Macaca mulatta: one gene and its partners. The protein of the gene in region 1 interacts with the protein of each later gene in a biochemical or structural test. Links are inferred from orthologs where the notes say so. Each region holds a gene or a part of one and is shown in the gene's direction. Other genes may lie near its edges. The genes, in order: GABARAPL1, STK3 and TBC1D2B.

Region 1 (4,390 bases):
GACAGGGTTTTGCCCTGTTACCCAAGCTGGTCTTGAACTCCTTAACTCAAGCGATCCTCGGCCGGGGCCTCCCAAGGTGCTGGGAGAACAGACGTGAGCCACCGCGCCTGTCCCCTTGTGGGTGTTTTTAAAATTAGAGACACTGAGACCCCGACTGAAGAAGATAGGCCATGGGGCTGCTGTTGTCTAATATTTCTCAGAACTCACCCGGCTTGTATGGGCAACGCAGCCCGTTTTCACTCTTCTTTTTCTTTGCAATCTCCACGGTCCTCCGTGTCGCTGCCTACCGTACTGGTTGGAAGGTCTTTATTCTTTGACTCTAGGTGGGGAAAGCGAGAACGAGGCTTCGCCGCACCTGCCGCAATGCCCAATCTTCCACTGGCATTCCAGGCAGCGCTTTCCAGCCACGTGAGGGATACCTAACCACTGGAACTAAATAAGATGTGGGGGAAGAATTGAGGTCATCACCTAAATTGCTTGATACTCTCTTTTCCAGAAGACAAGCCTCCTTTCTGAGTTAATGGCAGAAAGTGAATCACTTCTTTCTTTCTTTTCTTTTTCTTTAAGACGGTGTTTCGCTCTTGTCGCCCAGGCTGTAGTGCGATGCCGCGATCTTGGCTCACCGCAACCTCCGCTTCCCGGGTTAGAGCGATTCTCCTGCCTCAGCCTCCAGAGTAGCTGGGATTACAGGCATGGGCCACCACGCCCAGCTAATTTTGTATTTTTAGTAGAGACGGGGTTTCTCCATGTTGGTCAGGCTGGTCTCGAACTCCTAACTTCAGGTGATCCCCCTGCCTCGGCCTCCCAAAGTGCTGGGATTACAGGCATGAGCCACCGCGTCCGGCTAGAAAGTGAATCATTTCTGTATTTGATTGTACGTGAAGCCCTCCGTAGTCCTGACTGACATCACGTCTCCTTTGGACCTTGATTACACTCCGCGTCCTTCATCTGACTCCTCTCTTCAGATTCCTGAGTCACGCTCTGTTTATGTTGCTGTTCAGGAGCGAACTGCGGCGCGGCCCAAACACTGTGACGCCAGCGCGGGAGGAGGGCCGCGGGAGGGGCAGCGGAAAGCGCAGAGGGCACGGTGCAAGCACGGGACAGCTCTGCATTGGCCAAAGGGATCCCAGGAGGCCTGGGCCTCTTTTCCCCTGAGGCTGGATCCCAACCAGCAGGAAAAGGATTTTCGCCTTTTGTATTTGTTTTGGGGCCAAACCAAGAAAAACAGTGGAGGGGGAATAAAACATGTTTAAAATTGTTTTTGTCTTAAAACCGTCTTTCACAGTCACAAAATAAAACACAACTAGAATGTTTTGATGTTTGCAATGACATCGATTTTGAAAAACGTTAGCCAGAAAGGAAACGCAGTTAAGACAGCACTCGGCCGCCCCCTGCCCTCGGCGCCTGGGGGGCGGGGCGGGGCGCGCAGGGTGACGTCACAGCCCGACGCGCCACCCAACTGTTTTTGTGCTCCCAGCTCCAGCGAAAAGCCGCCGGTGTTTCTCCACCTGGCTCTCCTCTATCTCCGGGCAGGCTCACCCGAGATCCCCCCCACACCGAACCCCCTCTGCACGCTCGGCCCAGCGCTGTTGCCCCGGGAGCGGACGTTTCTGTAGCTATTTGAGCACACCTTGACGTCGGCGGAGGGAGCTGGACAGGGCCAGCAGCGAAGGAGGCAGGCCCCGCGCGGGGAATCTCGGAAGCCCTGCGGTGCATCATGAAGTTCCAGTACAAGGAGGACCATCCCTTTGAGTATCGGAAAAAGGAAGGAGAAAAGATCCGGAAGAAATATCCGGACAGGGTCCCCGTGAGTGTAGAGGAGCGGGGGGATGGGAGGGGAAGGGCCCGCGGGGGCGGGGGCTGGGAGTCGAGATGGCTTCCCTGGGGCGCCCAGGCGACTCTGGGGAAGGGAGGTGCCGATAATTAGTTAATCCTGAACGCCCTTCAGTGCCCGAGCCAATGGACGTCCAGACTGCGGAGCTTTTAAAACCACATATGCCTGGGGCCTGAACCCCACTTCAGGGCTGACGGTGTTTTTGGGGCCGAGCTGCCATCTTCAGTGACTCAGCAACCCACACGGTCTCAGCAATACTGAGACCCTGTGTGGGTTGAGGTGCGCAAAATAGCGCCCCTGTGTGCGAGAGTGGTTAGATCAGGGCCGTGGATTGGCTCCCTTTAAGAACGCGGGGACACTGTGCTGTGCGGTGAGGTTTGCGCAAACCCGGTCGATTTCTGCCTTGGCTGGTTCTCCTTTAATGAAGTTGACTTTGGCTGTCATATCATTGGGCTTGGGAGGAAAAGGTTCAGAAGCTATTCGGTTCTTTTCTTGCATGACAGGGGGGTAGGGGAGCACAAGACAGTCCGGGCCTGAAAAACAAGGTCACGTTCTCTGCGCAACAGCCCTCTTGCCTCATCGTTCTAGGCTCCGGGAAATGTGTAGGGACAGCCAGCCTCCCCCGGTATTGATTTCTGATCACCTGGCACCTGCACGCGATAAGGCAGGACTGAGACGTTTTTTCTGTGTTTTGGACACCGGCTTAAGTAGTTAAAACTAGCGCAGGTAGTGAGTAGGAACAGAGAAGAAACATTAGGTGTCTTTCAGCATCCGGGCGTTTTCCCCATTACCCCCTCCCCCGTCCCTTGCCTGGTGTTTCTCTAATGTGGGCTGCGCAGCCGAATTGGAGGGCAGAGTATGACTTTTAAGTGGTAAAGGGACCAGCAGCTGTTGGATTTTGGAAATGGAGGAGCAGAGATTTTTAAAATTGTGCTCTTTATCTTCAGGTAGGAACATCAGGATTACATGTCACATCATGGTAAAATAATTGCTGTTATCTGATGTCTTATCTTGATTCGCAGCCACTCTGGGTTTCTTCTCTAATCCTTACCTAACGTTCGTGGTTTTATAGCTACCAGAAGCCAGCAGGGCCTTAGCCCAGCAGTAGAAACCTCTTGTACCCCTTTTCCTTTAAAAAAAAAAAAAAAGTCATTAGGGCTCTTCCATTCCTCAGGAATTACCAAAGGGTTTTCAGTTTATAGAGGGGTGAGCTAATCCCTTACTCGGTAAAGGATCCTTTACAAAATACTTTGCTGGTTTCTGGACCTTGGATACCTGAAAATTTTGCCGAGTTCTGGTGATACCAATCTTTAGAGCAATGATATTTAAAAAATACAGTCATATTTTACTAATAGTTTACAGTAGCAGTATAAGTACTCAGTCTGTAATCATTCGCTTAATCTTTACACGATTATAATCCCCGTTCTACAGACGGAGTATTCAAAGCACAAAGAAATGCGGTAACTTCCTAAAGGTTTCACATTGCTGATCTGTGTTTGAGCCGGAATTCTAACCCTGTCTGACGGACTGTGGAGCTCTCGGAGACCTTAACCTCCGTGTCATACTGTTTCTCAGTTTCTAATATAGTTGTTATTAACCAGAATTAATGACGTGCTGTGGACTTCACACTGTTAAGTATTGGAAATAGATAAATACTTATGTGTATTCTGAATATTTCAGTGCATTCTGTTCTTTTCATGCTCATAGTTTGGTGTTAAATGTTTTACTCCTGTGATAATTTTTAAGCCATTAAGACTGTCACTCAGATTTCAGCTTCCCTAGGGTTATGTTTTAACCAGCGCTGAGCTGCTCCCAAGGTGCTCAGTCTGTGACCTTCTTTCTAGTTATGACGCAGGTTCCTTGATTTGGTTCTAGTTCTGGGAATTCACTGCATCCTTGGGCAGAACTTTTAATCTTGCTGTGCTAGATAGAGTGCCTTGTTTACAGAAAAGAGGGTTAGAGTAGTGGTTCCTAAAGCCCATTCCAGCTTGACCATTGGTGTTATTCAAGCAGTGGTGTATCCTGACTGCTCGCATAACCAGAGTTTAGTCCCACCAATATTTCTTCAGAGCTAACAGTTGAAGAGGTATGCTTGTGCCTTCAGAGAGGAGGGGTTGGTGGGATCTTGAAATTATCTTCAAAGACACAACATATCAAAAAGACTGCTAGAAACAGATTGTCTATTTTAAAAATTCATAGCTCTATTGAGTATTAGTCACATTTTACAAATGAGGAAAACTGAGACCCAAAGAGGCAAAGCATCTAGCCCAGGGTCTACCATAGTGAGGAGTAGAGTTGGGATTCCTGGAAATTTAACCTTGGTTCTGGGAAACCAATCCTTTAATAATTACCCCTCCCCCTTTTCTTCCTCTCCAAACCCCTGCCTTCCCTCCAGGTATTGCGGTCTGCTTTATCACTTTCTTTTTCTGTCTTCCTTTGTGGTTTTTCTCTCTTACTGCTAGGTCTCAGAGTTCCTTTGGGGCACAGTGCTAGCCTCTTTCTGCCTTTTCCTTTTAATTCCTGGCTTACATTACCCTATTTCAGTTTTTATTTTTA
Region 2 (2,670 bases), on another chromosome or scaffold:
ATCCTACGTAGACATAGTTGGGTGTGTCTTTCTTGGGAAATGTGGTTGTGTGGTATACATTGGCCTTTCAGTATGGCCATTACTGATGTGTACAGTTCAAAGTTTGGAGTTTCCCTGTTTGTCTTATTCTGTATCCCCGCAGCAATTTGAACAGCACTGAGCATGTAACAGATGCATGATCACTACTTGGATTAAAAGTCAATGAAGAAAGTGTATAATAATACATATTATATATAAATGTATCTTTTATAGCATAATATTAAAAGCTAGGTTCTTTCATGACATATGACTACAAAGTAACAGGGCTGATTATTAATATACATACCAGAACTTCTTATGTACTGAAGTGAGTGGCATTCACCTTCAAAGTCATCATCATGGAAGCCTGCATACTCTTCTCCATATACTGTCATTTCTCAAAATATTTTTGGAACTCCTTTTTTGAATTTCCTTCAAAGAGTCTGTGACTCATTCTTTTCAGTATCCTCAGAGTCTTTTTCAGCTAAGAGTGAATTTGGTTTTTGGAAGCAGAAGTCACGATAGGGCCAGGGATGGCGAGTAAAAGGATCTGCTGGGACATGCTACTTTGGATGACTATAAGTAATGAGTATTTTTCTTCCTTGACTCATAAAATAACCAAAGACAGTTATCTTTTTAAAACAAAAAGTAAGTTGCAAGTTTTATCATTTTAAAACCAAGCCTTAGCTGGGTGCAGTGGCACATCCCAGCTACTGAGGAGGTCGAAGGAGGAGGATCTCTTGAGCCCAGAAGCTTGAGGCTAGCCTGGGCAACATAGTGGGATCTTGTCTCAAAAAAATAAAAAAGAAGAAGAAGGAGAAGGAGAAACAAAATCTGGATTACTCTTACATAACTGTCCTACTCCAGAATTGATCATGGCTTCCTACTTTTGGGGCCCCACCAGGCCTATTCAGCCTTACTTCCCACCCCCTACCACAGTCATCTTCTTTATTAAGCATTTGGTAAAATGGAGGATAGAATGGTTAATTTAACCTTTATTCAGTCTTGTCATGTTCTTGGGTGATCTCTGCAAGTGTTCATTATTATTGTAGCACTCGGTAGCTGGCAAAGATGTAAGAAGTTAGAGTGAATATACCTGGAACGTATTCTGAAAATCTGTTTGTTGGCGGGGGTGGATTTGTCTTTGTACCTTTTTACAAATTCTATCAGCATATTTTTCTCATTTGCCCTTTACTAAAGGCAGATGATCCGATTGTTTCATTGCAGATTACTTGAGGTTCTTGCAAGATATGACCTCTGGGTTCTTCAAGGAAGAAATTCCTGTTTTAATTGTTGAACCATACTTCGAAGATGATGTAAAGAATTTGCTGAAATATTTATGTTAAAACTCATTAGACATTAATGTGTTGTGGATAATTTCACTATATTGATATCTTTGTTTGTTTCCATATCTAGTTGAAAAATCTAAGTTTAGAAGAACTACAGATGCGATTAAAAGCACTGGACCCTATGATGGAACGGGAGATAGAAGAACTTCGTCAGAGATACACTGCGAAAAGACAGCCCATTCTGGATGCGATGGATGCAAAAAAAAGAAGGCAGCAAAACTTTTGAGTCTAATTTCCTGTCTGTTTTTAACTATTCTGGAGACCAAGAAACCACTAGGAATTGAAGGAATATTTGTATATTTTTAATCCTAAGATTTTGCCCTACAATTAGTCAGAGGTCAAAAACTGACAATGGTACATGCCCAGGTAAATTCCCAAAAGGCAGAATTGACAGTTGTATCTGCTGTGCATTCACTTTCAGATGAGGAGAACAAAAGAAGTGTATTCTCTTGTTCTGTCAGCTGCATACCAGCAATAAAACTGTGTTTTGAAACGGAGGCTGCGTTTAGAGACCTTGAAAATCCAAAGCTATTGTTTAATTGTGCAGCACTGAAGGGCTTTATGTTACAATATTCTTTATTCCTATCTAGTATACTAGTCTATTTATTGTATCCCCTTAGGTAAACTTATTTATTTATGCTATTTTGCTTTGTTTTGTTTTTTAAGGACAAGATCAGGATAGCTTTGGTGAAGATAGGGTCATATTAATATGATGATAATGTGCAACCAAATTATACTTTCTGCAGGGAGCTATGGGGTACATTCCTTGATTTCCAGGATAGTTTTCCAGTAGGAAAGTAATAATGGCAATAGTTCTCAAATGGGCTAGGCCTTTTTTATATCGAAGCAATAATTCCATTTTTACCCTTTGAAATTTTGTTTAATTTTTTGATTTTTGATGTTTGGTACAAATAGAACTATATATATTTAGGTAAAATAGATCTATCGTGTTTAAAACCAAAGAAATCAGTGGAATCCTTGCACAAAAAAGTATGATAAATATTTTTTAAAAAAAACTTAATACAAATGTAACTTGTTAATATTGTTTTATGTTTTATGTGTAGATCTAATAGCTGAACTGATTCAAACTGTAATAAGCTCATCAATTTCATTTCTATGAAAATGTGCTCTATTGTCACAGGATGTTTCTGTTGATTTTATTCATTTCCTGGGAATTGGTAAACATCATGTGCCTGATGATAACCCAGTAGCAAAAACATTTGTACTGAGTGGTACAAGCCTTGGGGACTGAAAAAAAATTAAAAAAAAAAAGATTAAAACCATTAAAAAGAAATTCATTTTT
Region 3 (3,653 bases), on another chromosome or scaffold:
TTAATGTTTTGCCAATATTATTTCATTTTACCTCCCGACTCCCCAGTTTTTTTTCTGGAATATTTTAAAGCAAATGCCGGACATCACGTCATTCCACCTGTAAACATTTCAGTATGTATTTCTGACTGGATACATACTAATCCCAGATACATATCATTTTGAAACTTATTTCCTTCAACATTATTTTCTGAAATTATCCAGGTTGATACAAGTTAACTCCTGAGCTTTTTTTTTTTTTTTTTTTTAAGAGATGGGGTCTCACTCTGTTGCTCTGGCTGGCCTGGACCTCCTGGGCTCAAGCAGTTCTCCTACATCAGCCTCCCAGACAGCTGGGACTACAGACGCACACGACTGAGCATATTTACCTTCTTTGTAGAACATCATTGTATGAATCTACCATGGTGTCTTTATTCCTTCCCCTCATGGAGGACATTTAGATCTTTCCATTTTTCCTTGTTACAGTGATGCAAGGACCATCATGGTCCATATTCCCATGTGCCCACGTGAGAGAGTTTCTCTAGGGTGCAGACTGGAAGTGGAATTCCTGGTGTGTAGAAAATACATACCTTTAACTCTGCTAGATCTGATTTTCAAAGTGCTTGAGTAAGTTTACGCTCAGCAGCAGTGTGTGAAAGGCCTTTGTAGTAGTTTTCTTTTACTGGTACAACAAATTATAAACATTGTGGCTTAAAACAACACAACACAAATTTGTCACTTAATAGTTCTGAAGGTCAGTAGCCCAATATGGGTCTCATTGGATTAAAATCCAGATTTAATTGAGGGCTGCATTTTTTCTGAAGGTTCTGGGATAGTTAATTTCCTTGTTCATTTAAGTTGTTGGTGGAATATAGTTCCTTGCAGTCAGTTGTAGGACTAGGTCGCTGTTTTCTTGCTGGTTGTCAGCTGTGGTTGGTGGCTTCTAGAGCCCCCTGCGTTCTTTGGCCCGGGGCCCCTTTTCCCATCTTCGGGGCGACAGCAGCAGGTCCAGCGCCTCTCACGCCTCCCATCTCTCCTGCCTGACGTTTCTCTGACTGATTCTTCCACTTTGAAGGGCTCATGAGGATATTTGGGCCCATCCAGATGTCCCAGATAATCTCCTTGTTTTAAATTCTGCATTAACATTCCATTAACAACATTCCTATTGCCATGTAACGTAAAACAGCCACAGGTTCCAGGAACTGGGACGTGAACATCTTTATCCCTAATAGCTTATAAATACATTCTTCTTTTTTTTATCTTTTAAAATGATATTTTTAAGCATAAAGTTATACATATGTAGTACATATATGATAAAGAAACATACACACGCATTAATGTAGCCAGATTTATCAGTCTTGTTTTTGTGCTGTTGCCTGCGTTTTCTTCCATGCTTTTCATATTTTCAGTGTTAAACTGTTTGGAATTGGTTTTTTCCCTATGTAGTATCAAGTAGAGATCTAATTTAATTTTTCCATATAGATAGTCATTCTAGCTTTATATACTGAGAAGTCGATTATATCCTCACTGATCTGAAATGCTTCTCATAGTTCAAAGTACCACGTGTGCATAATTTGGTTTCTAGACTCTCTTTTTCTGTTGCGTTGGTCTTTGTTGCTAAAACTTTGTCATTTTAACTTTTCCTTTTGTTTTTATCAACAGTGAATATGATATTTATGGGTTCAGGACTGTACCTGAGGATGACGAGGAAGAGAAGTTGGTCGCCAAGGTCCGCGCGTTGGATCTGAAGACTCTCTACCTCACAGAAAACCAGGAAGTCTCCACTGGGGTCAAGTGGGAAAACTATTTTGCCAGTACAGTCAACAGGGAGATGATGTGCTCTCCAGAATTAAAAAACCTTATCCGTGCGGGCATTCCCCATGAGCACCGTTCCAAGGTATGGAAGTGGTGTGTGGACCGTCACACCAGGAAGTTCAAGGACAGCACAGAGCCTGGCCACTTCCAGACATTGCTGCAGAAGGCGCTGGAGAAACAGAACCCGGCCTCCAAGCAGATTGAGCTGGACTTGCTGCGAACTCTGCCCAACAACAAACATTACTCCTGCCCCACCTCAGAAGGCATACAGAAGCTACGCAACGTCCTCCTCGCCTTCTCCTGGCGGAATCCAGACATCGGCTACTGCCAAGGCCTAAACAGGTGGGGGCACAGCACAAAATGTTCCCATTTGCCATTAGGCAACTTGTAGGCACCGGTACTGCCTGGCAGCTCCCTCCCTTCCTGGTTGGCCAAGAAAAGTCAATATTTTAGAAGAAAAAAGTAGTTGCAGCAAGCCAGTTATCATGACACAGTGTCCCCAGTTCTAGAAGAACTGAGAGAAACAAACATGCTTTCAGAAAGTATTAAGAACACAAGAGTTTAATTCATTTGAAACTACTGGAGTCTCATTTTTTCCTAGTCTCATCACACTTGGGTTTTGATCAGAAGTTTGATTTTATTAGTTTGTAATGCATGGAGTGGAAATTGATGGCCACCCCTTGTTTATGCAGTATACAGGATCTTTTTGTGAATCAAGAAGTCGCCCCAGACAATTATTCAGCTGATTGAAACTTAGCCCTTCATGGACTTAAACTTGTTTCCTTTTAAACTAGAACCTTTAACAGGTCTTGCATACTTCCCTACTTCCATAGGCAGAGGACGCTGAAAAGCCTCTCACATTTTCTTGGTGATCCAGGCTCATCCTCCTGAGCTGTGTAGGGATGGGACAAGACCTCAGGAGGACTGAGGTTTGCTCCCCACGAAGCTCTTCCTGTCACTGGACTTTGCACTGACTGCTTCTTAATGGCTTGTGCACTTTCTGCTTACTGCTGTCCTGGCAGTTGTCCATTTATATTTCTGTGTTATGAAAGTAGGTAATCAAGTTTGTAAAAAAAAAAGGATAAAGGTCCAGTGCAGTGGCTCACACCTGTAATCCCAACACTTTGGGAGGCCAAGGTGGAAGGATTGCTTGAGTCCAGGAGTTTGAAACCAGCCTGGGCAACATGGCGAAACCCCATCCCTACAAAAAATACAAAAAAAATTAGCTGGGTGCGGTGGGTCACACCTGTAATCCCGGCACTTTGGGAGGTCGAGGCAGGCAGATCACCTGACGTCAGGAGTTCAGGACCAGCCTGGCCAACATGGTGAGACCCTGTCTCTACTAAAAATACAAAACTTAGCCAGACAATGGCACATGCCTGTAATCCCACCTACTTGGGAGCCTGAGGTAGGAGATTTGCTTGAACCTGGGAGGCAGATGTTGCAGTGAGCCAAGATCGTGCCACTGCACTCTAGCCTGAACAACAGAGGGAGACTCCGTCAAAAAAAAAAAAAAAAATTAGCTGGGCATGGTGGCATGCGCCTCTAATCCCAGCTACTTGGAAGGTTGAGGTGGGAGGATCGCTTGAGCCCAGGAGGTTGAGGCTGTAGTGAGCTGTGATCATACCACTATACTCCAGCCTGGGCAACAGAGTGAGACCCTGTCTCAAAAAAAAAAAAAGATACGGATAAAGTAAGAATGGAAAAGCTCTGCCTGTGTACCTTAGGAATTCTGTAAGCCGTGCATGAGCTGGAGTTCTGAGTACTGACATTTGTTCTGGCTGCTCACAGGCCTTTTTGCTTCTGCTCCATGCCAGGTATTGACCTCCAGGTACGGGTTTTCTGTTTGTGTCTGAAATGAG

Evidence for each region.
Region 2: the proteins of GABARAPL1 (region 1) and STK3 form a complex in vitro, tested with the Homo sapiens proteins (2 studies listed by BioGRID and IntAct). The link is inferred for Macaca mulatta from reciprocal best matches to the Homo sapiens genes GABARAPL1 and STK3.
Region 3: the proteins of GABARAPL1 (region 1) and TBC1D2B form a complex in vitro, tested with the Homo sapiens proteins (2 studies listed by BioGRID and IntAct). The link is inferred for Macaca mulatta from reciprocal best matches to the Homo sapiens genes GABARAPL1 and TBC1D2B.

Annotation. Positions count from the first base shown.
Region 1 is NC_133416.1:10,339,681-10,344,070, reverse strand, and holds the start of GABARAPL1 (gamma-aminobutyric acid receptor-associated protein-like 1), read left to right. Parts: upstream 1-1,523; 5' UTR 1,524-1,717; coding exon 1,718-1,807; intron 1,808-4,390. UniProt on the Homo sapiens protein: Ubiquitin-like modifier that increases cell-surface expression of kappa-type opioid receptor through facilitating anterograde intracellular trafficking of the receptor. Involved in formation of autophagosomal vacuoles.
Region 2 is NC_133413.1:108,839,451-108,842,120, reverse strand, and holds the end of STK3 (serine/threonine-protein kinase 3), read left to right. Parts: intron 1-1,434; coding exon 1,435-1,593; 3' UTR 1,594-2,071; downstream 2,072-2,670. UniProt on the Homo sapiens protein: Stress-activated, pro-apoptotic kinase which, following caspase-cleavage, enters the nucleus and induces chromatin condensation followed by internucleosomal DNA fragmentation.
Region 3 is NC_133412.1:56,156,980-56,160,632, reverse strand, and holds part of TBC1D2B (TBC1 domain family member 2B), read left to right. Parts: intron 1-1,638; coding exon 1,639-2,133; intron 2,134-3,653. UniProt on the Homo sapiens protein: GTPase-activating protein that plays a role in the early steps of endocytosis.